4 linked regions of the Xenopus tropicalis genome follow. The protein of the gene in region 1 interacts with the protein of each later gene in a pairwise test. Links are inferred from orthologs where the notes say so. Each region holds a gene or a part of one and is shown in the gene's direction. Other genes may lie near its edges.

Region 1 (5,472 bases):
TAGCACAGTTGATTCCCTCACACAAAAATCTGGAGCTAATAAAAATGACACCCCCTCTTGTTGTGATGTGCAGGTTGACCTGAAACATGTGGGGTCTGTTTTTGCTTATAGCCCACAATCCCTTATCAATAGTACTGGTTGTTTATCATTAAAGTGATACTGACACCAGAAATTAAATCTTTTTTTACATCTATCATTCATTATCTTAAAAGTATTTGCCCAATACTTTTACATTACATTACCTACTATCTGATCCCCCATGTTCCTCTGTGAGGGGACTGCCAAGTAACAGTTACTTAGGGCCGTGGTAGACGGGGAGATTAGTTGCCCGTGACAAATCTCCCTTGTTGCGGGCGACTAATCTCTCTGATATGCCATCATACAGGCTTGAATGTAAATCGCCAGTGGTATGGCATATGCGGCGTTGCGATTTCCGAAAACTGCGGAAGTTGCCTTGAGAGGAAACTTGTGCGATTTCGGGAAATCGCGTCGCCGCATATGCCATACCACTGGCGATTTACATTCAAGCCGGTGGGATGGCATATCGGGGTGATTAGTCGCCCGCAACAAGGGAGATTTGTCACGCGGCGACTAATCTTCCCGTCTGTCACAGCCCTTAGCGCCAGTATCACTTTAAGGCTAATGGCACTTGGGGTAGTGCTGGAATGGCAAATATTCTGGCAAAACCCGTAGTGACTGCTGTGAATTGCATAGACCGGTGCTTTATTTGAGGTTGTTAGAGGACTGTCTCAGCCTCAGTTTATTTGTAATGCCAAGACTTATTTAGATCTTAGTACAGACAACATGGTGTGTTTTGACTACTACCTGTTAGGGTGAAGACACACAGAGCTACTTAGTAGCAGCTACTTGTCACAGCTACTAAACGCCAGAAAATCCCCTGCCACAGACAATACTGAGAATTGCCTCTGCTAAAACACATGTAGAGACAGTTATCAGTAAATGATCAGCATTGTCTATTTTTGCAGCTGTGACAAGTAGCTGCTACTAGTAGCTCCATGTGTCTTCACCCTAAGTGCCAGTGCCAAGTGGGGTGCTGGAGTCTTTACCCTTACTGCTTCTAATGGCAAGTGCATAGGGTTTGCAACTTTTAAAAATGATTTAACCTGCTGGGCTGGGGTGACAAGGGGGGTGGGGTGATGCTGTAAAGGCCCAGGGTGATAATATGAGCAGAAGAGAATTGGCATGTTGGGCAGAGGGCAGCTTCTGGTCTGAAAAGGGATGAACAATTAGGGTGGATCAGTGCAATGACACGCAATGGCACTGTTATACTGGTCCCAGCTTTAGCATGTGTTTTACCACTGGTAGAATAGCAACCCTGAAAGTGTCCCTGCTGATACACTTGGAGCAGTAAAAAGCCATAAACTAATGCTGCCTGAAACACAAAAAGTTGATTTAAACTTTAACAACAACTTTAACATGTCCCTCCTGGCCTAGTCTAAAGAGGAGCATCAAACTAAACTCATACAGATTAATGCGGGTTTAGCCAGAGAATTATATAGGTGACGTCACGCAAAGCTTGTCCCAATCCTGTCACGACATGGCCACGCCCCGTGTTATTGCTGGTAGGTGGGAGACACGTGACGTTTCCTGGGCGGGAGTTTGATGACGCGAGGGGGCGGAGTCCGGGGAAGCTCTGTGAGACGGCCGCAGTGGTGCCCGGAGCTGGCAGCGTGTGAATCGGACGGGAGCTCGGAAGGAGGAAGAGGCGGCCCGGGGAGGGGAGGGGAGGCCGAGGACGGGACATCCGCCCCGGTATGTTGGCAGCTGTGTCAGCTGGTTGGTGAAGTCGATAGGTTTCCCGCAGCAGTGTATGAGGGCATGTCGGTGCCACACACTGCTTGTTCTGCTCCTTGCCCCTAGGCTACTATTCCTTGTCTCCGCCTGGCATTAGCTACGGGCAATACCACTAGTGCTTTGCGCTGCTGTCGGTGATCCCATTCCCCGCTTTGCGTTTTTCTCTCAAGCCTTTCATTGTCGTGGTTTGTTGCGATCCGCTATTCTCCGGTCTCAGTACTCGCTCACATCTCTATGGCCTTAAGGGCCACCGGATATCTCGCTAGCTGTTTCCTTTCATCAGGGGCTTCTGGTTATTGTGTCACAGGTGGGCTAATGCTAGCCTGACTTCATTCATCATATGACTTGAACCCTGTACCCTCCTAGTGCCGCTGCCAAATCTGCCCATATCCATGTATAGTGTATAGCAGCAGCCTCCTTGCCAAGTGTATCCATGTATGTGCTACTTCTTTTGTGTCTTCCTTGTCTCCATGTGTAATGCTCACATTTAGCTTCACTCTCCTTGCCAAGTGTATCCATGTATTTCCCACCTCTGTTGTGTCTTCCTTGTCTCCATGTGTAATGCTCACATTTAGCTTCACTCTCCTTGCCAAGTGTATCCATGTATGTGCCACCTCTGTGGTGTCTTCCTTGTGTCTTTGTGCACTCTTCACATTTAGCTTCACCCTCCTTGCCAAGTGTATCCATGTATGTGCCACCTCTGTGGTGTCTTCCTTGTCTCCATGTGTAATGCCCACATTTAGCTTCACCCTCCTTGCCAAGTGTATCCATGTATGTGCCACCTCTGTGGTGTCTTCCTTGTCTCCATGTGTAATGCCCACATTTAGCTTCACCCTCCTTGCCAAGTGTATCCATGTATGTGCCACCTCTGTGGTGTCTTCCTTGTGTCTTTGTGCACTCTTCACATTTAGCTTCACCCTCCTTGCCAAGTGTATCCATGTATGTGCCACCTCTGTGGTGTCTTCCTTGTCTCCATGTGTAATGCCCACATTTAGCTTCACCCTCCTTGCCAAGTGTATCCATGTATGTGCCACCTCTGTGGTGTCTTCCTTTTGTCTTTGTGCACTCTTCACATTTAGCTTCACCCTCCTTGCCAAGTGTATCCATGTATGTGCCACCTCTGTGGTGTCTTCCTTGTCTCTATGTGTAATGCTCTCATTTAGCTTCACCCTCCTTGCCAAGTGTATCCATGTATGTGCCACCTCTGTGGTGTCTTCCTTGTCTCTATGTGTATTGCCCACATTTAGCTTCACTCTCCTTGCCAAGTGTATCCATGTATGTGCCACCTCTGGTGTCTTCCTTGTCTCTATGTGTAATGCCCACATTTAGCTTCACTCTCCTTGCCAAGTGTATCCATGTATGTGCCACCTCTGTGGTGTCTTCCTTGTCTCTATGTGTAATGCTCTCATTTAGCTTCACCCTCCTTGCCAAGTGTATCCATGTATGTGCCACCTCTGTGGTGTCTTCTTTGTGTCTTTGTGCACTCTTCACATTTAGCTGCAATCTCCTTGCCAAGTGTATCCATGTATGTGCCACCTCTGTGGTGTCTTTCTTGTCTCCATGTGTAATGCCCACATTTAGCTTCACCCTCCTTGCCAAGTGTATCCATGTATGTGCCACCTCTGTTTTGTCTTCCTTGTCTCCATGTGTAATGCTCACATTTAGCTTCACTCTCCTTGCCAAGTGTATCCATGTATTTCCCACCTCTGTGGTGTCTTTCTTGTCTCCATGTGTAATGCTCACATTTAGCTTCACCCTCCTTGCCATCTGTATCCATTTATGTGCCACCTCTGTGGTGTCTTCTCAGTGTCCATGTAATGTCCATATTGAGATTTTTCATGATTAAAACAATAGGCAAAAAAAGTATGTTCAGAAAACAACAATTAATAGAGGGTACTCCCTTATGCAAATATAGTAAAGGATGCAAAAGTAAAGACTCTTACCCAAATAGAGGCAAAAGTAAAGCAAACTACAAAAGGTCACTTTGCACTCCAAAACAAAGTATGTTCAGCACAAGCCCTGTGTATTGAGCTTGTGCTGTGCAAGGGGGGTATACTGCCACTCCACCTTTTTTGCCAACTCAGTGTTGTCTTGCGCCTGTGCACCTTTAGGGTGAAGACACACAGAGCTACTTAGTAGCAGCTACCCCTGCCATAGACAATACTGAGAATTGCCTCTGCTAAAACACATGTAGAGACAATTATCAGTAAATGATCAGCATTGTCCATTTTAGTAGCCATGACAAGTAGCTGCTACTACCGGTAGTAGGTCATTGTGTCTTCACCCTTAATTGCATTCTCTCTGCTTAGTCTACCCTTTTTTTGTCCAAGCACTCCCCGCCAGGTATGCCGTTGTCTTTTGTTTATCTTTTGTGAAATTTACTTTGGACCAAGTGCATCGTACTTTAGCTACCAGTGTTTCCCAACCATGTTGCTCCCCTAATCCCTTTGATATTGCTTCCAGTGGCCTCAAAGCAGGTGTTCATTTTTGAATTTCTTACTTGGAGGCACAAAGGCCATGTGTACTGCCACACAGAGCCAAATATGCCATTATTTGGCACCCCCTTGGAACTTTTTTCATGCTTGCGTTGCTGCCAACTCTTTTTATTTAAATGTTTTCTATAGGTAAAAAAGTTGGACACCTTTATTTCAAACTTTCCATAGGTGTTATTTCTATATCATTTCCATAAAGCTTGTCCAAGTTGTTCATTCTTGCCATACTACCCCCCCCCATTGTCAGATTATTGAATAAAATAAATAACGAAAAATATATAGTAGTACTTTGCCCTAGAAGTTGTATTAATGGTCACCAGCCTTCTCAGGGCCTTCAACAGGTTACTTAACCTAATATGACTTGTAAATGTGTGCCATGTCATGACAAATGTGTTTACTGATCATGTATCACTGTTATTTTGAAAGGAAGAAAGGTTATGTTGGTTGGTTGGTTCATTGTGGATAAAAATGTATTTAGTTTTGGCCATTTGTGCTGAAAATACTATTAAAAACCTTTGTCCCCAGTTGATTGAAACTTTAGTTTGGTAAATAAATGAACAGCCCATCCTCATACACTCCCACAAGGAGTCTTGGGAATACTGTCTGAAACTGGTCTTATTACTACATTCTAACAATGGCTAAACCCCTTTGTGGTAACTTATTCCAAACAGTCAGTGTATATGTCCTTATCAAGTAGGTTATATTGGATAACAAGGAGACAGTGGGCAAAGCATATGAAGAATACCAGAATTACTGAGTCCACCTAGAACAAAATATGCAAACTTACATATTTTTTTTCAGTATTTTTATGAGAGAGAGACATTGGAGACAGTGTCCCACAAGACAGAACAGAATTACATAGTGAATGACTGTTAAACATCTGTTACACTGTTTGTTGGAATGCCTGTGGCTGATCTGCCCTGTTCAATAAGCACTAGCCATCGCTTGTCAGTGCTCAAAAACAGCACAGATTTCGGGCTGAAAATGAACACTTAGGCTGATGCCACACGTGGCGTTTTTACGCTGCGTATTTTCTAATTCTCTCGGCGGCTGAAAAACGCCTGATATCATCATCCATAGAAATAGCTTGAAAAGACGCGCAGCAAACCACACAAAGCGGAAATACGCTAGAAAACGCCTAAGCACGGATTTTTCAAGCGTTGGC
Region 2 (4,438 bases), on another chromosome or scaffold:
AGTCCCCATATCTATCTATATACAGCTTAATTCAAACAAGAGTTATATAGAGTTCCCCATGCTAGTAAATAGGTTCGCAAAATGCTGATAGTCCATAACAGACTAATTAAATTTCCCCCATATCATCATTCTCATACATCTGTAATGGCCATACAGGATTCACATAGAATTCCCCCATATCTGACCTATACCATTTACAAATAAATTGTCCTTACCATTTTTGATAATTACTCATAAGCCCTGATGATGATTCGTTTACTAATTTCCCCTCCCATCCCCTCGTCAGCCATCAGTGTACTGCGCTCTCGGCTCCAACAACTGACACACTCCCTGAGACAAATACTTCAACACACACTTCAAGCACTGCATAAACGGCCCCCCACCCTCACTAAATACGTCCCCAGCCCTCAGCCTGGCATAAAGTACGCCCCACCCCTCACCGCTAAGTACCCCCTCAATAAACTGCCCCCAAGCCCTTCACCTGCCAAAATACTGCCCCTCAGGCCCTCTAAATACGCCCCCCAGCCCCTTCAGCCTGGCCGATAAACGTGCCCCCAGCCCCTTCAGCCTCCGATAAATACTGGGCCCCCAGCCCCTTCAACCGCCATAAATACGTGGGCCCCCACCCCTTCAGCCTTCTATAAATACTCCCCCCACCCCTTCCCTGGCAAAAGGTACGTGGCCCCCCCTTCGACCTGACCAAAACTGCCCCTCACCCGTCCAAAATACGCCCCCAGCCCTCACCTCTAAATACTCCCCTAGCCTCCAAATACGTGGCACCCCCCATCCCCTCAGCCTGGCCGATAAAGGTACGTGCCCCCAGCCCCTTCAGCCTGCCGATAAAGTACTGCGCCCCTCAGCTGCATAAAACAGTGGCCCCCCCAGCCCTTCAGCCTGGCCGATAAAGGTACGTGGGGCCCCCACCCCTTCAGCCTGGCCGATAAAGGTACGTGGGGCCCCTTCAGCCTGGCCGATAAAGGTACATCCCCCACCCCTTCAATAAGTACTGCCCCCACCCTTCCCTTATAAAACTGCCCCCACCCCTTCACCTTCAAAATATCCCCCCCCCTTCCTCATAAAGGTCCCTTCACCTGGGGCCCCCCAGGCCCTTCACTGGCATAAAGGTACTGCCCCAGGCCGGCGCCCCCAATTCCCTCCATAAAGGTACCCCTCAGCCGCCGATTCACCCCTCACCTCCACCCCAGCCCTTCCCGCCATAAAACTGCCCCCCCTCACACCTCCCATAAAGTTGGGACAGCCCCCCAGCCCTCACCATAAAGTACTCCCCCCCCTCAGCCGGCCGATAAAGTACCCCCCACCCCCAGGCCGCCATAAAACGCCGCCCCTGCACTGCCAAAAGGTACGTGGGCCCCTCACCTGCCGATAAATACTCCCCTTCACCTCAAAATACCCCCTTCAGCCTGGCAAAAGTAGGCCCACTCGATAAATGCCCCCACACCTTCAGCTCTGCCGAATACGTGGCCCCGCACCCAGAAAACGCCCCAACCGTCCTCGAAAAGCTCCGGTGCGCACACCGGCGTACCCCGCAAAAGACCCCCCACGCTCGCCGTCGAGGCCATCATCCCCTACAGCTGCACACAATAGCTGGCGCACGGCCATACCACATAGTGCCCCCGCCCGGGCCCCCACCACAGCCCCCCTCCTGATACCACGTCGGCCCAACAGCCAACCATCCTAATGCCCCAGCACGACCCAAAGCGTGTCCGAACAGCAGAACACAGGAGGCCCAATACAAGAAAATAACCCCCCCAACCAAAACATAAACCACCGAAAACCACAAGAACAACTAGGCGGACCCACCCCCCCGCCCCCTACAATAAGGTTGCAAGACAACGTACCCCACCCCACATATTTTAAATAGCGCGGACGTTTCCCCGGGGCCGCACAACCCGCCCACACACTCCCGCCGGCCCAATAACGAAGGCCGAAACGGGCCGCCACGTCCTTCGAGGGTCCCTTCGGGAAGGTGACGCACCAGGTCCGGGCGGCCATCGAGACCAAGCGACTCTCCAAAGACTACAAGAGCGCCAAACTCTTCTACATCCTCCGGCCGCTCGACCTCAACGAGATCCCGGAAATCGAGGTGGGCGGCGCCTTAATTGGATCCCTTAGGGGGCGGGGCACAGTGGATGGATTTAGTGCCCTCCCCTTTCAAGGGAGGAGCTGCATAATGAATGCCCCCCACTTCTGTGCTGCAGGGTCAGACTGGGCCAGGGGGTCCCCTAAGGGCTCTGCACCCCCCAGTCCAACCCTGTGCATTGGGTACTATGGGTACCCCCTAATTTAGTAGCAGAGCCCATTCCTAAATAAAGGGGCTAGTGTTTTAAAGGGGAAGTTCACCTTCAAGTCAGCTTTTAGTTCGTCATAGAATGACCAATTATAAGCAACTTTTCAATTGGTCTTCATTATTTATTTGTTATACTATTTTCATTATTTCTTCTTCCGACCCTTTCTAGCTTTCAAATGGGGGTCACTGACCCCGGCAGCCAAACCCTATTGCTCTGTGAGGCTCCAGTTTTATTGTTACTTTTTATTCCTTATCTTTCTATTCAGCCCCTCCCCCTATTCATATACCAGTCTCTCATTCAAACCGCTGCCTGGTTGCTAAGGTAATTGGAGCCCTAGCAACAGGATAACTGACCCCGGCAGCCAAACCCTATTGCTCTGTGAGGCTCCAGTTTTATTGTTATTGTTACTTTTTATTCCTTATCTTTCTATTCAGCCCCTCCCGTATTCATATACCCGCCTCCCAATCAAACAGCTCCCTGGTTGCTAAGGTCATTTGAGCCCTAGCAACAGGATAACTGACCCCGGCAGCCAAACCCTATTGCTCTGTGAGGCTCCAGTTTTATTGTTAATGTTACTTTTTATTCCTTATCTTTCTATTCAAACCACTCCCTGGTTGCTAAGGTAATTTGGACCCTAGCAACCAGATAGCTGCTGAAACTCCAAACTGGAGAGCTGCAGAAAAACTAAAAAAATGAACACCAATTGCAATTGAACATCCCCTTTAATGTTGGTGGCGGCCATGTTGGTGCCCATAGCCCTCCCCTTCGTTGCTAAACCGGTTTCTCTTCCAGCAACGGAACTGCGCGTCGGCGACTAAGAAGTTCAACTACCTCCTGGTGAAGTCCGGGCAGGTCCTACTGGCGGCCAGCTCCGACCTGCGCGGCTACGTGGTGGGACAGGCCATACAGATCCACACGGAACTGGAGAACAAGTCCGGCCGCGACACCGGCTCCATCGTGGCGGCTCTGGTCCAGGTAAAGGGGGCGGGGCTTAGGGGTAGAAACTAAAACTAAATGTTTTGGGGAATTTTTTTTTTTTTTCTTACCCGTCTTTCTCTGCTGTTAGAAAATCGCCTACAAGTCGAAGCGGGTGGTGTACGACCTCCGGACCATCGCGGAGGTGGAAGGGGCCCCGGTGAAGGCTTGGAAGCGGGCGGTGTGGGACGAGCAGATCCTGGTTCCGGCTCTTCCGCAGTCCATTCTGCAGGGGTGCAACCTCATCCATATTGACTACTACATCCAGGTAACGTGGCGCTGCCCTACTGCTACTAAACAGAGAGGATTCTGGGTAAAGTTCCCCCCAATATTTCACTGTCGGCTTCAGGTACATCTGTTTCCTGAGACTGCCTGTCTCTCCTTGCAGTAACCATGGTGATGTTCTAGCTAGGAAGGAATGTATTGATCGTCTAGCAATGACTCACTGTGTGCACAGACATTACTGGCGATTGCCAATAACTTGTCTCAATCCTATAGCGAAAAGTTTATACATATGGGTAGGAGGTGCCATAGTGTTTCCCTTAGACAGTACAGTATGGGGGTACAGCTTATTGTGTGCCCAGAACATTCCCTCTCTGTATATTTGTATTTATACATATGGGTAGGGGGTGCCATAGTGTTTCCCTTAGACAGTACAGTATGGGGGTACAGCTTATTGTGTGCCCAGAACATTCCTTCTCTGTATATTTGTATTTATACATATGGGTAGGGGGTGCCATAGTGTTTCCCTTAGACAGTACAGTATGGGGGTACAGCTTACTGTGTGCCCAGAACATTCCCTCTCTGTATATTTGTATTTATACATATGGGTAGGGGGTGCCATAGTGTTTCCCTTAGACAGTACAGTATGGGGGTACAGCTTATTGTGTGCCCAGAACATCCCTTCTCTGTATATTTGTATTTATACATATGGGTAGGGGGTGCCATAGTGTTTCCCTTAGACAGTACAGTATGGGGGTACAGCTTATTGTGTGCCCAGAACATTCCTTCTCTGTATATTTGTATTTATACATATGGGTAGGGGGTGCCATAGTGTTTCCCTTAGACAGTACAGTATGGGGGTACAGCTTATTGTGTGCCCAGAACATTCCCTCTCTGTATATTTGTATTTATACATATGGGTGGGAGCTGCC
Region 3 (5,324 bases), on another chromosome or scaffold:
AATGAATCCGAAACTTTCGTACTCGACGTGACCATACGAATTTGTTGCAAAAAAAATTGTTGCAAAAATAACGATCATTACGAAAAAACACATTCGGACACATCTGATTGGCTGTTGGTGGCTCCTTTCACTTTTTCTAATCTTGAATATTAATCCCACGGTTTTTAACTGTACAAGGGGACACTTGTACGGATAGTATAAGAATAGCAGCATTTTAAATTTAAACAAAGAAGATTCCCATAATGCCTCGCTCCTGCACCAAGACCAAGACCGGTGTACATATGCAGTGTGTAAGACTATGAGGAAGCTTTCTGCTGATTGGCTCAGATCACACATTCCTAAGGGGGGGAGGGAGTTCTTAGCATTCTTGAGGGAGGGGGGAGCAGGAGAGGGGAGAGAGGAGAGAGCTGCGTGTCTGTGGCACAGGAAATCAAAGAGACAAGAAATCCTGTATCTTTTTATAGAGGACTCAGTGCAGCGTTTCCGTGAGTGCTTATGGCTGTATTTACATAGACCTACCTGATAAAGCTTACTTAGTTTTTACCTTTTCTTCTCTTTTAATTTATTATTACAGAAACAAACAAATAAATGAATTAGTATTTTATTATTAGGATTGAATTTACTCATTGGGCAGAATATAGTTAGGGTTGCCTTCCATGTGGTTTTGAACAGTTTTTGAGAGGGCTGTCTAGTTCAAAAGGTCTTTCTAGAAATCCAATTGCATCTAAGTGATGCCATAACCTTGCTTTGGTGTCATAATCCCACTGACATAATTTTGCCCACTTCTGATGTCATCATGCCCATGTCCAACATCACTGCCCCACCCCCTTTGTTGCAGTTTAGCCTCTGACAAAGGTGGCAACCTTAGTAGGCATTGTCTGTATAGACACCATTTGCTGTATCTGTCCATTTGTTTTAAAGTTGGCAATGAAATGGATGAGCCCCCACCCCCCTGACCTCCAGCAATGGAAACAACTTGTTAACACTAGACTCCCACTTATTAAACTAACATACCTTGCCAGGGGTTGCCCTAGCAAATTCTAGAGAATATGGCGTCTATACAGACAATGCCTACTAAGGTTGCCACCTTTGTCAGAGGCTAAACCTCAACAAAGGGGGCGGGGCAGTGATGTTTGACATGGGCATGATGACATCAGAAGTGGGCACAATTATGTCAGTGGGATTATGACACCAAAGCAAGGTTATGGCATCACTTAGATGCAACTGGATTTCTAGAGAGACCTTTTGAACTAGACAATCCTCTCAAAAACTGTAAGAAGCTCAACCAGAAGCGAGTCCCACAGTATAACCCTGAGACTTTTACACCAAAGGTCTCCCCCAAATCACAGGCCTTATCCAAACTACTTAGGCCACACCGACTGTATCTAGCTGACCCTGCTACTGTATACTTTCTCCATGGTCATAGCACTAATTATTGTATATGCTATTGTGCTGGTTTTATGTTTCTGTTTGTAAAGAAAATAATAAAAACCTTTAAAAAATGTTTTTCATATATCTTCATAACACGGTGTTCTGACGAGAATATGAATTTGACTTGGGGCAAGTTTCTATTCACCTTCAGCCATATCTTTCTAATGCTGCTGCTCATTGTTCGCGTTCCAACGAGTTTGTACAATACAAATTATACTATGTGAAAAAAAACGCGCGCAACTAGCTGGTTCAGTATCCAGTAGAGGAAGTGACGCGCCCGTTCCCGCCTTCCCCCTCCCGACCCACTCCTCCCAGCTCGCACCGCCTCCGTGACTGCCTAGCGCTGCCGCTCCAGGCGGAAGATGGCGGACGGAGTGGATCATATCGATATCTACGCAGATGTGGGCGAGGAATTTAATCAGGTATCGCGAGTGGGAAATATGGGTGCAGCAAGTGGTTGTCATGCTGGTGCGAGTCGTCTGTGTGTGCTTGGGCCGCCTCCCGACTTCTCGCAGATAAAAGAAGCGCCTGTTTGTTTTGTTATTATTTGTAGGCCTATGTATGCTATCAAGTCTTTAAAGCATTTCTTTTACCCTGGAGATTCGCAAAATTTGTACAGAGGCGGGCAAGCCGAACCCGGCCACACAGCCTTCTGCACTTTCTTTGTGTAGGCCGCGTGTGCCGGGGCCTTGAGTTCCACGGAACTTCAGTCTAGTGCCATTGCCCAGAGCCCTGCTGGATTAGTTATGTGTGGGTTACGGGGGCTCTAGACTAAAACAGTAGTTGTTGGGATTTTCTTTTTCTTAGAGACTGTGGGAAGACGAGCTTTTACGGACTACAACAATTGTTCACCCCTTCAAATACCACTCTATTTTAAAAAATTGTTCTAAGCTACTAGGGTTGTTTGGAAAGACTAATGAAAAACCTTCACAACTGTTATCATAATTGCTTCCCCCCCCCCCCCCAAATAAATCTACTTATCCATTGGTCGAAATAGAGAATATAATAGGCTGTAACATACATGGGGCCCTGGAGCATCTCGCCGGCAGCTGCTAGGTACCACTGTCTTTATTTTGGGGGGTACAAGAAAATAGGTACCATACATAATGTAATAAAATGCATCTGCTGTCATTTTCCAAACTATTCTTTATAGAAAAATGTACACTTTTCTAATATCATAAAACGGTGTACTTTTCCTATCTGTCTTGAATTGAGAGAGACAGCACAGCAATCATTTACTTGTAAATGTAGAACTATACAGTTGCAGTTTCACATAATGGATAAAAAATTAAATGCCAATGGTTGAAGGGAAAAAAAACTGAAAATGTGGTTTGTTCAACCTTTAATAACAGGTTTATACTGGTATCTTTAATATCCTTCAGCTATAAATACACCATCTCTAGATTAGCAAATGAATGCAGGATGTCAATATCTGGTATAGGCAGTAGTGGCCCCATTGCTGATATACGTCAGACTTTCTCCATATTTAAATTAGAAGTGAATTTCAGCTAATTGACTATTTAAAGCACAAAAAAGTATTGGCAAATCCATTACTATTTATATTAGATCTAATGCTTTTATTTTTCATGGAAATTTACCCTAGTTATGTTCTATATTATTCATTAAAACACATTTTCTGTACCACAGGGATAAAATCAACATTTGTTTCTTTTTTAGAGCAGCAAGGTATTGAAAGATTCTTGTTATACAGGGGGGGGGGGCTGGTGGAGGAAATAATCAAATATCAATTTCTTAAATTAAAATGTGTTCCCCTTTTTTTTGGTTGAGGACTGAAACAATATTCAGATGCTTGTAAAATAAGCTGTCAGAAATAATGTAGCTGTTGTTTTCTTATCTTTGTAGACTTCCAAACCTCCTTGGATTTTTGCAATGTTGGGGTGTTAGTGCAGAGGCATATACAGAACTGTGTTACACATGGAACTGCCTCTTGTGACTGTCAAAGCATCAGAAAATATTTTAAATGCTGTAGAACAGGGGTCCCCAACCTTTTTTACCCGTGAGCCACATTCAAATGTAAAATGTCAGGGAGCAACACAAGCATAAAAAGGTTTCTGGGGGTGCCAAATATGGGCAGTAAATGGCTAATCTGGTAGCCTCTAAAGCTGGCCATACATGCACCGATAATATCGTACGAAACCTCGTTTTGTACGATATTCGGTGCGTGTATGGTAAGTCAGCGAGTCGACCGATATCGCAGGAGGCTGCTGATATTGGTCGACGCGCCGATCGGCCAGGTTAAAAGATTTTGATCGAGCGCCATAGAAGGCGCCTGAGCAAAATCTGCCTTCAGGGCTGAATCGGCAGCCTTATTTGCTGTTTCAGCCCTGAACGGTTAATGGCTGATTGAACAGCATTACATTATATAGTAATTACTTTTATACACTTTCATTTTTTGGTGTTACTGTCCCTTTAAAGTTCCGATGATAAGGCACCCAATCAAAATTTTCAGTCCTGCGCGATTGACAAGGCAACCAATATCTTAAGGCATTTACTGATATTGGTTGCTGTGTCTCCCACCATGCATGTGCCGATTATTATACAACAAAGTTTCCTTTACACTTTAGTTGTTGAGGGGGGATTTTATGTTTTTGTCCCCATTGCTATAGTCACAAATATCCAAAGGTGCAAATTATGGAGATCACTCGCATTGCCAATGTCCTTTTTTTCAGGCAAAAAACCAAATGTTCCATTAAGAATTGTTGTGTTTATCTGAACAACACAGCAAAACATCTTTGCTTGTAAGTGCATTCCTAGTCCATACATATTTATCTAAAACCAGTAATTGATTTGCCTTTGAAAGAATCATTAGGTGAACAATGTATTCTTTAAAAATTGACATGTATAATAAAGTGGAGAATGCATCAATATGTTAAAATTTGTAAATTAATAATAATAATTAAGGCCCTGATCCAGGCAACAGGCAGCTGCTTGAAGAGGTATGAACATTCATATTTTTTGTTTGTATTAAAGGAAGCAGAATATGGTGCACATGAGCAAATTGAACTCTATGAGGATGTCATCTCACCATCTGCAAACAATGGAGATGCTCCTGAGGACCGCGACTATATGGATAATCTAGCAACTTCTGTTGGAGATGATGTAGTGAAAGGATCTGTTCCTAATATTGTGTATACCTATACTGGTAAACGAATAGCACTCTACATTGGAAATCTAACATGGGTAAGTAAAGGCATAACAATAACATTTTTCTGCTCCTATTGTGTAGTTTATGTTGATTTCATGCTGCACAAGGTGTTTTGACCACTGCACAAGAAAACAACCACCACTAAAAATATGCTGTCTGCATTTATTTTATTCCTGTGAAAGGCATATATCTGCCTTTATCTACACTTCAACAGTGTGTCCTATATCTTTGTTGAATCTGATTGACAGTTTCATATAAACTACATTAATATATGAACTCAAGTGTTTGGGGCAAAATCTGCCTGCACACTTTAAAAAATTCCGTATTCTTTATAGAACATCATTATTTCTTATCTTGGAAAATGTGAGAAAAGTACAATTGTTAAATTTTATCTTGTGTGGTTTTTGACATTTCTGCATATACAGTAGCTGCATTTTTATGCATGATTTATTTCTATTCTATAAATGATTTTGCATAGAATGGTTTATTTCTGTAGGTGTAATGTGTCTCATCATTTTCCTTTCTTTGTGCAGTGGACAACTGATGAAGACTTGACAGATGCTGTTCATTCTTTGGGTGTTAATGATATTTTGGAAATAAAATTTTTTGAAAATCGGGCCAATGGCCAGTCAAAGGGGTAAGATTGGATGCTTTTCTGGATTTTCTGCTAATTGTTTTACTTAGGTTTAATGGTTTGGATGTTAAGTTTGACAAAGGTTCTGCCTTT
Region 4 (4,823 bases), on another chromosome or scaffold:
ATTTTTGTACAGCACAGGAACCTGACATTTTACCAGGGGTTTGTAGACTTTTTATATGCACTGTAGCTGCCTGCTGAGCTCAGGGATGGAACTAGCAGTAGGCACAACTATAGGTGACCGCTGGGCTGGCCTCCCAACCTTTAGTTAGTACTTAATTTTTAACGTACAGTAAGTCAGTTATAGAATAATTGTGTTTTGTTAATTTAAAAGATCTTTCCTTGTCCCTCTAATTACAGGTGGAAATGAATGAAGGCAAAGTCTGCGTGTGCTGTGAAGAAATCTATGCCAACAAGTGCCTTGAAAGAGAGAACTTTCTAAAGCTTTTCCCAGTTCAGTCCTGTAATGCCGTTCATCTCTTACTCAAGGTAGTAAAGAAAACTCACAGTGACGAGCTTTTATTTTACACCTGAATTGATTAACACCTCCCCCTCAATAATATGGGAACACACAGGGAATTGATCTCTAACACTCTTTATTAACCTCTACATTGTTGGGAGTGGAAGGATCTGAAAGCTAATTTCTAATTTCAGTTCATAATTCATAGCATTTTCTCATTACAACTTTATTTATGATTTTAACATTGCATAGCCATAGTCCCTGCATTCTTTCCCTAGATATAGTTTGTTGCCATCTTATTGCATCTGGTCAAGGTGACCTTTCAGTTACAAGAAACAAAAGAGCTGATGCATGTTCTTCTTTCCTGGCACTCAAAAGGCTTATTCGAATTTCGCTTATATCAACAATAGGTTATGCTGACCTGCTTATTAAAACAAATGCAGCTGGTAATGAATCAAATCACAATAACTTTTGGTTTTTAGTAAATATTAATTTAGTATTAGCATTATATAACCCATAATATTAAATAATGTTTTTTGTGTATTATTTTCTCACTAGATGGGGAAGAAATGTTAGTGAATTATTGTCCCAGAATTCTCTTGAATTTTAACAAAAGGCTGGACCTTTCCAATACCTGAGGGCTTGTTTATGAAAGCAAGCAAATGCAAAACTTTTTCCTAATGAATCCTTGTATCTGTAAATGCTTGTGCAACTTATGACTAATGTCATTGTTCCAGTCCAGCCTGCTTTGATAAATGCCAAGTAGTATAGGCAGACATGTCAGCTTTCCCTGATTTAACCCCTCACCCAGTCACCTACAGTAACAAACCACCCACTCACAAAGTCACTCACTGTCAGTAGTTTGCACTAGAATCTCAACTTCCTTTGTGTGTTACGTCTGCACATACAATAAAATTATATATATATATGTGAGCCTGCAGTAGCATGTTGCATTGGCCTGACAGCTTTCTGCAATCTCCATGCAAGTCCTCAGTTTTTATTAGTTATGAGATTGTATTTATAAATGGGATTTTGTTGGAGCTATTTGGGATTAGTTCCCAGAATTCTGTGTGTTTATTTGCATATGTATGAGAGGGTTTCCTCACCCCTTTTGATTTATCTGTGGATCCACACCCCTAGCTCTTCTTAAACTGATCAGAGACCCCTGCAATACACTGATGAGCCCTAAGAAGGGTGAAACCAGTCTGTAGTTGGGAATCTGATCAGCTATTATCCTGGTTTCTTCTTTTGAAACCTAGTGGGTGAGCTTTAGCCTATAGCAGTGCTGTCCAACTGGCCCGAAGCCCCATCTGTGTGGCACCCCACCTGTCTGGCTGCTGTCGTTGCTTACCTTTATGTAAGCTTTAAGTGGTTTTAGTATTGGCCTAAAGGATAAACCAATGTAAATGGGATTTGGAGCTCTTTGGGATTAGTTCCCAGAATTCTTTGTGTTTAAGTAGATTTTAGCAAATGGATTTGCAAAGAATGTTGAAAGAGGTAGTTTAAGCCATTTCCAGAGTCTGCACAAGGTATTCAAAACAAATGTTTTACTTTCAAAATTTTCCATTATATATCTACTCCTATTATGCCAAACATTGTTTATGCCATCAATGTTTTAGCTAAAAGCAAACTATTAAGTGTAAGAACTATTATATTCTATCCCTAGAAAGTCTTCTTCGCTCTGTGTGCTCTGAATGCCCTCACTACCACTGTGTGCCTGGTCGCTGCTGCCCTGCGCTACCTGCAGCTCCTCACAACTAGAAGGCCCTGCACAGTAAGTGAGTGTATAGTGCATAAGAAGGCAATTTCTTAATTGCCTGTTTGGAGGATACAATACATAAAAGATGACACTTGCCTATGATATGTTTTAAATATTTTATGCATTATTATTACTAGCAACAGAAATGGGACATTGCAATTACAAAATCATGGTTTTGCCTTAATGGTCTATGATCACAGTTTTTATATATTCTGATTTAAATTGCAATGTTTTTTTAAACTCTAGCCTTCAGGATTTTTATATTAGAAATGTAGTAAAGATGTATTTCATTGTATTTGACTAGGATGAGTCGCAAATATCAGCTGAGGAAGGAGAGGAACAAGAGCGGGTTCCAGACCCTGATGATTTTGTTGCTCCTGCACCACCTCCATCTTATTTCTCTACATTTTATTCCTGCACCCCCCGAATAAATCAGAGGTAAAACAGTATTCTTTTGTGCAATAGTTCACTTTTGGAGTTCAGAAGGGCCCCTTGTAGCACCTGGAGAATGCACTGAATGCAAATAAACTTAAATGTTACTATCATCAAACTGTTGTAAGTAGCATAGTGTTCCTTTAAAGGAGAACTACAGTTTAACAAAGTAGACTAGAAATGGTGCACATTTTGTGTTGGGGTTCTGTATCAGTTCAAAATGACTACATCCATTTGGCAAGGAAAATTTGCTACTCTGGAAATGCCCCCAGTAGCTCCCCATCTTCTTCTCTGCTGATTCACTGCACATGCTCTGTGCTGCTGTCAGTTACTGAGTTTAGGGACCCACTCACAATACACTGTGTATATAGAATATAAAAGTCACAATGAAAGGCTGAAAAGTAATTAATTCAGATTCACAGTACAAAGCAGCTCAGAAATCAGAATGAGAATCAGCCCTGTGGCATCAGCTTCTATAACAGGGGAATCTCATTTTCTGCTTGATAATTTGCAACAACCCCTAAGCTCAGTTTACCAACTGCTTCCCAGACCACACTGAGCATGTGAGTGTCACTTCAAACAAAATACAAATAGTGTCCCTCTGCACTCAACTTTAAATGCCTGAATCATTACTGTTATAGGGATGCTGAAACTTTGGACTGGTACAGTAAGTTTAGCATGTAAAATATGGCATTTCTACCAATTCTTGTTTTTAGGGTTTAGTTCTCCTTTAAAAGCATTACTAGAAAAGCAACTAGTCTTTTTATATTTCAGTTACCATGTTACCATGACAGTTATATGAATAATTTATCAATATTTATATTCTTTTGGGTTTTTTTGTTTTGTTTTGTTATAGTAATCCAAGGTTACCCTAGGCTGAGTTCTTTGTAAAAACTATATCTCAGTTGAGAGTTTAAATACCTGTCTTTTTTTTTTCAAGAATGTCCTCATTCCATTGTACGCAGCAAAAATTTAATGACCCATAATCCATCACTAACTTTGTTCGACATCACTTTTCAAACAGTTTGCCATGTCTTGATAGTTAATGCCTTAAAACCTTTTAGCTAGCTGAATTTATAGCACTGCATGTTTTCTATAGCTGAGGCCCAATCAACAGAAATACCAGGCTATAAGCCCATAAAGTAAATATTTTGTACGTGTGTTACCCACAACTCCGAGCAAGTTAAATCCAGCTTTCTCTGGCTCTGCTGTTGAAATATTTCTTTTCCTCTAGCCATTCGCTTGTAATTGACCTTATTCTCTTACAGAAGCTCTCTTAGGCTTGTTACTGGAATTTGGTAGTATACTAATTTACCTTTATAACATGAAAGGCATTGAATATACGTTTGCCTTTTATTTTAAGACAACAGAGATTGAGCCCAATCAGTCAAGCGAGATGCATGATCTGCAATATGAAACTCATTGACGTGTGTTAAGCTTTTGTTTTTTTGCTTTTCATTCAAGAACGTACAAGTCAGGTTAGTCAAATTGGAGGCTCATGGTCTGGATGTTCCCTATCACTGGATTGTTTGTAACAGTTCACATCCTGCCCCAAGACACTATATTTGTCAACAGATGATGGCAGCATGGTGGCACAATACATAACACTGTAGCTGGGGACCTATTTGCATTGTGCATGGGGGCACAAGTGCAAGAGTTTGCTAATTTATTAAGCACTTGAGCCTAATAAAAATTTTGGCCGCTCAGTGAAGAATGCAGCATCAGAATGTGCAGCTCAGCCCTATCCTTACCACCTGTCTTTGGGAAGGCAGTAAGGACAGGGCCCCAAAGCGGACTGTGCATCCTGCTACTCCTACCTGGCACCTCAGAATAATGTGCAAAGTAGGGGCAGATAGGGGGTGGGAGGGCAGGATGCCTACATGCCTCTCCTGCCCCCCCCCTCACTAATACAGCACTGACTAAGAAAGTTAGCGTTGTTTTAGCAAAGAGAACCGCTGGTCTTTACTCACACCCCAATGCAGCATACAAAGTGCATAATAATGAATGATTGCGCCCATTTTTTGCACTTTATATGCTGCCTTCTGGTTTACAAATGAGACATTGTATGTTCTCCATGTGTCTGCATGGGTTTCCTCCACACTTCAGTAATGAAATTTCAGGTTGATTGGATCCTGATAAAATTAACCATAGTGTGTGTATAAGAGCTAGGTTGTAAGCTCCACTTGGTCAGGGGCTGATGTGTATGATGTATAATCTCTGTAAAGAACTGGGGAATCTGTTGGCACTATATAAATAAAGAATTTAAGTAAGAATAACATGTGTACCATCAAATAGT

What was found.
Region 2: the proteins of wwp1 (region 1) and arrdc1 interact in binary tests that used the Homo sapiens proteins (3 or more experiments, as listed by UniProt). The link is inferred for Xenopus tropicalis from reciprocal best matches to the Homo sapiens genes WWP1 and ARRDC1.
Region 3: the proteins of wwp1 (region 1) and cpsf6 interact in binary tests that used the Homo sapiens proteins (3 or more experiments, as listed by UniProt). The link is inferred for Xenopus tropicalis from reciprocal best matches to the Homo sapiens genes WWP1 and CPSF6.
Region 4: the proteins of wwp1 (region 1) and fam189a2 interact in binary tests that used the Homo sapiens proteins (3 or more experiments, as listed by UniProt). The link is inferred for Xenopus tropicalis from reciprocal best matches to the Homo sapiens genes WWP1 and ENTREP1.

The regions. Positions count from the first base shown.
Region 1 is NC_030682.2:125,462,422-125,467,893, forward strand, and holds the start of wwp1 (NEDD4-like E3 ubiquitin-protein ligase WWP1), read left to right. Parts: upstream 1-1,693; 5' UTR 1,694-1,773; intron 1,774-5,472. UniProt on the Homo sapiens protein: E3 ubiquitin-protein ligase which accepts ubiquitin from an E2 ubiquitin-conjugating enzyme in the form of a thioester and then directly transfers the ubiquitin to targeted substrates.
Region 2 is NC_030684.2:4,210,608-4,215,045, forward strand, and holds part of arrdc1 (arrestin domain-containing protein 1), read left to right. Parts: intron 1-286; coding exon 287-422; intron 423-1,420; coding exon 1,421-1,525; intron 1,526-1,944; coding exon 1,945-2,104; intron 2,105-3,101; coding exon 3,102-3,284; intron 3,285-3,375; coding exon 3,376-3,552; intron 3,553-4,438. UniProt on the Homo sapiens protein: Functions as an adapter recruiting ubiquitin-protein ligases to their specific substrates. Through an ubiquitination-dependent mechanism plays for instance a role in the incorporation of SLC11A2 into extracellular vesicles.
Region 3 is NC_030679.2:58,921,139-58,926,462, reverse strand, and holds the start of cpsf6 (cleavage and polyadenylation specificity factor subunit 6), read left to right. Parts: upstream 1-1,675; 5' UTR 1,676-1,793; coding exon 1,794-1,853; intron 1,854-4,422; coding exon 4,423-4,632; intron 4,633-5,130; coding exon 5,131-5,234; intron 5,235-5,324. UniProt on the Homo sapiens protein: Component of the cleavage factor Im (CFIm) complex that functions as an activator of the pre-mRNA 3'-end cleavage and polyadenylation processing required for the maturation of pre-mRNA into functional mRNAs.
Region 4 is NC_030677.2:129,486,424-129,491,246, forward strand, and holds part of fam189a2 (protein FAM189A2), read left to right. Parts: intron 1-236; coding exon 237-365; intron 366-2,002; coding exon 2,003-2,110; intron 2,111-2,399; coding exon 2,400-2,533; intron 2,534-4,823. UniProt on the Homo sapiens protein: Functions as an activator of the E3 ubiquitin protein ligase ITCH in the ubiquitination of the CXCL12-activated CXCR4 receptor. Thereby, triggers CXCR4 endocytosis and desensitization, negatively regulating the CXCL12/CXCR4 signaling pathway.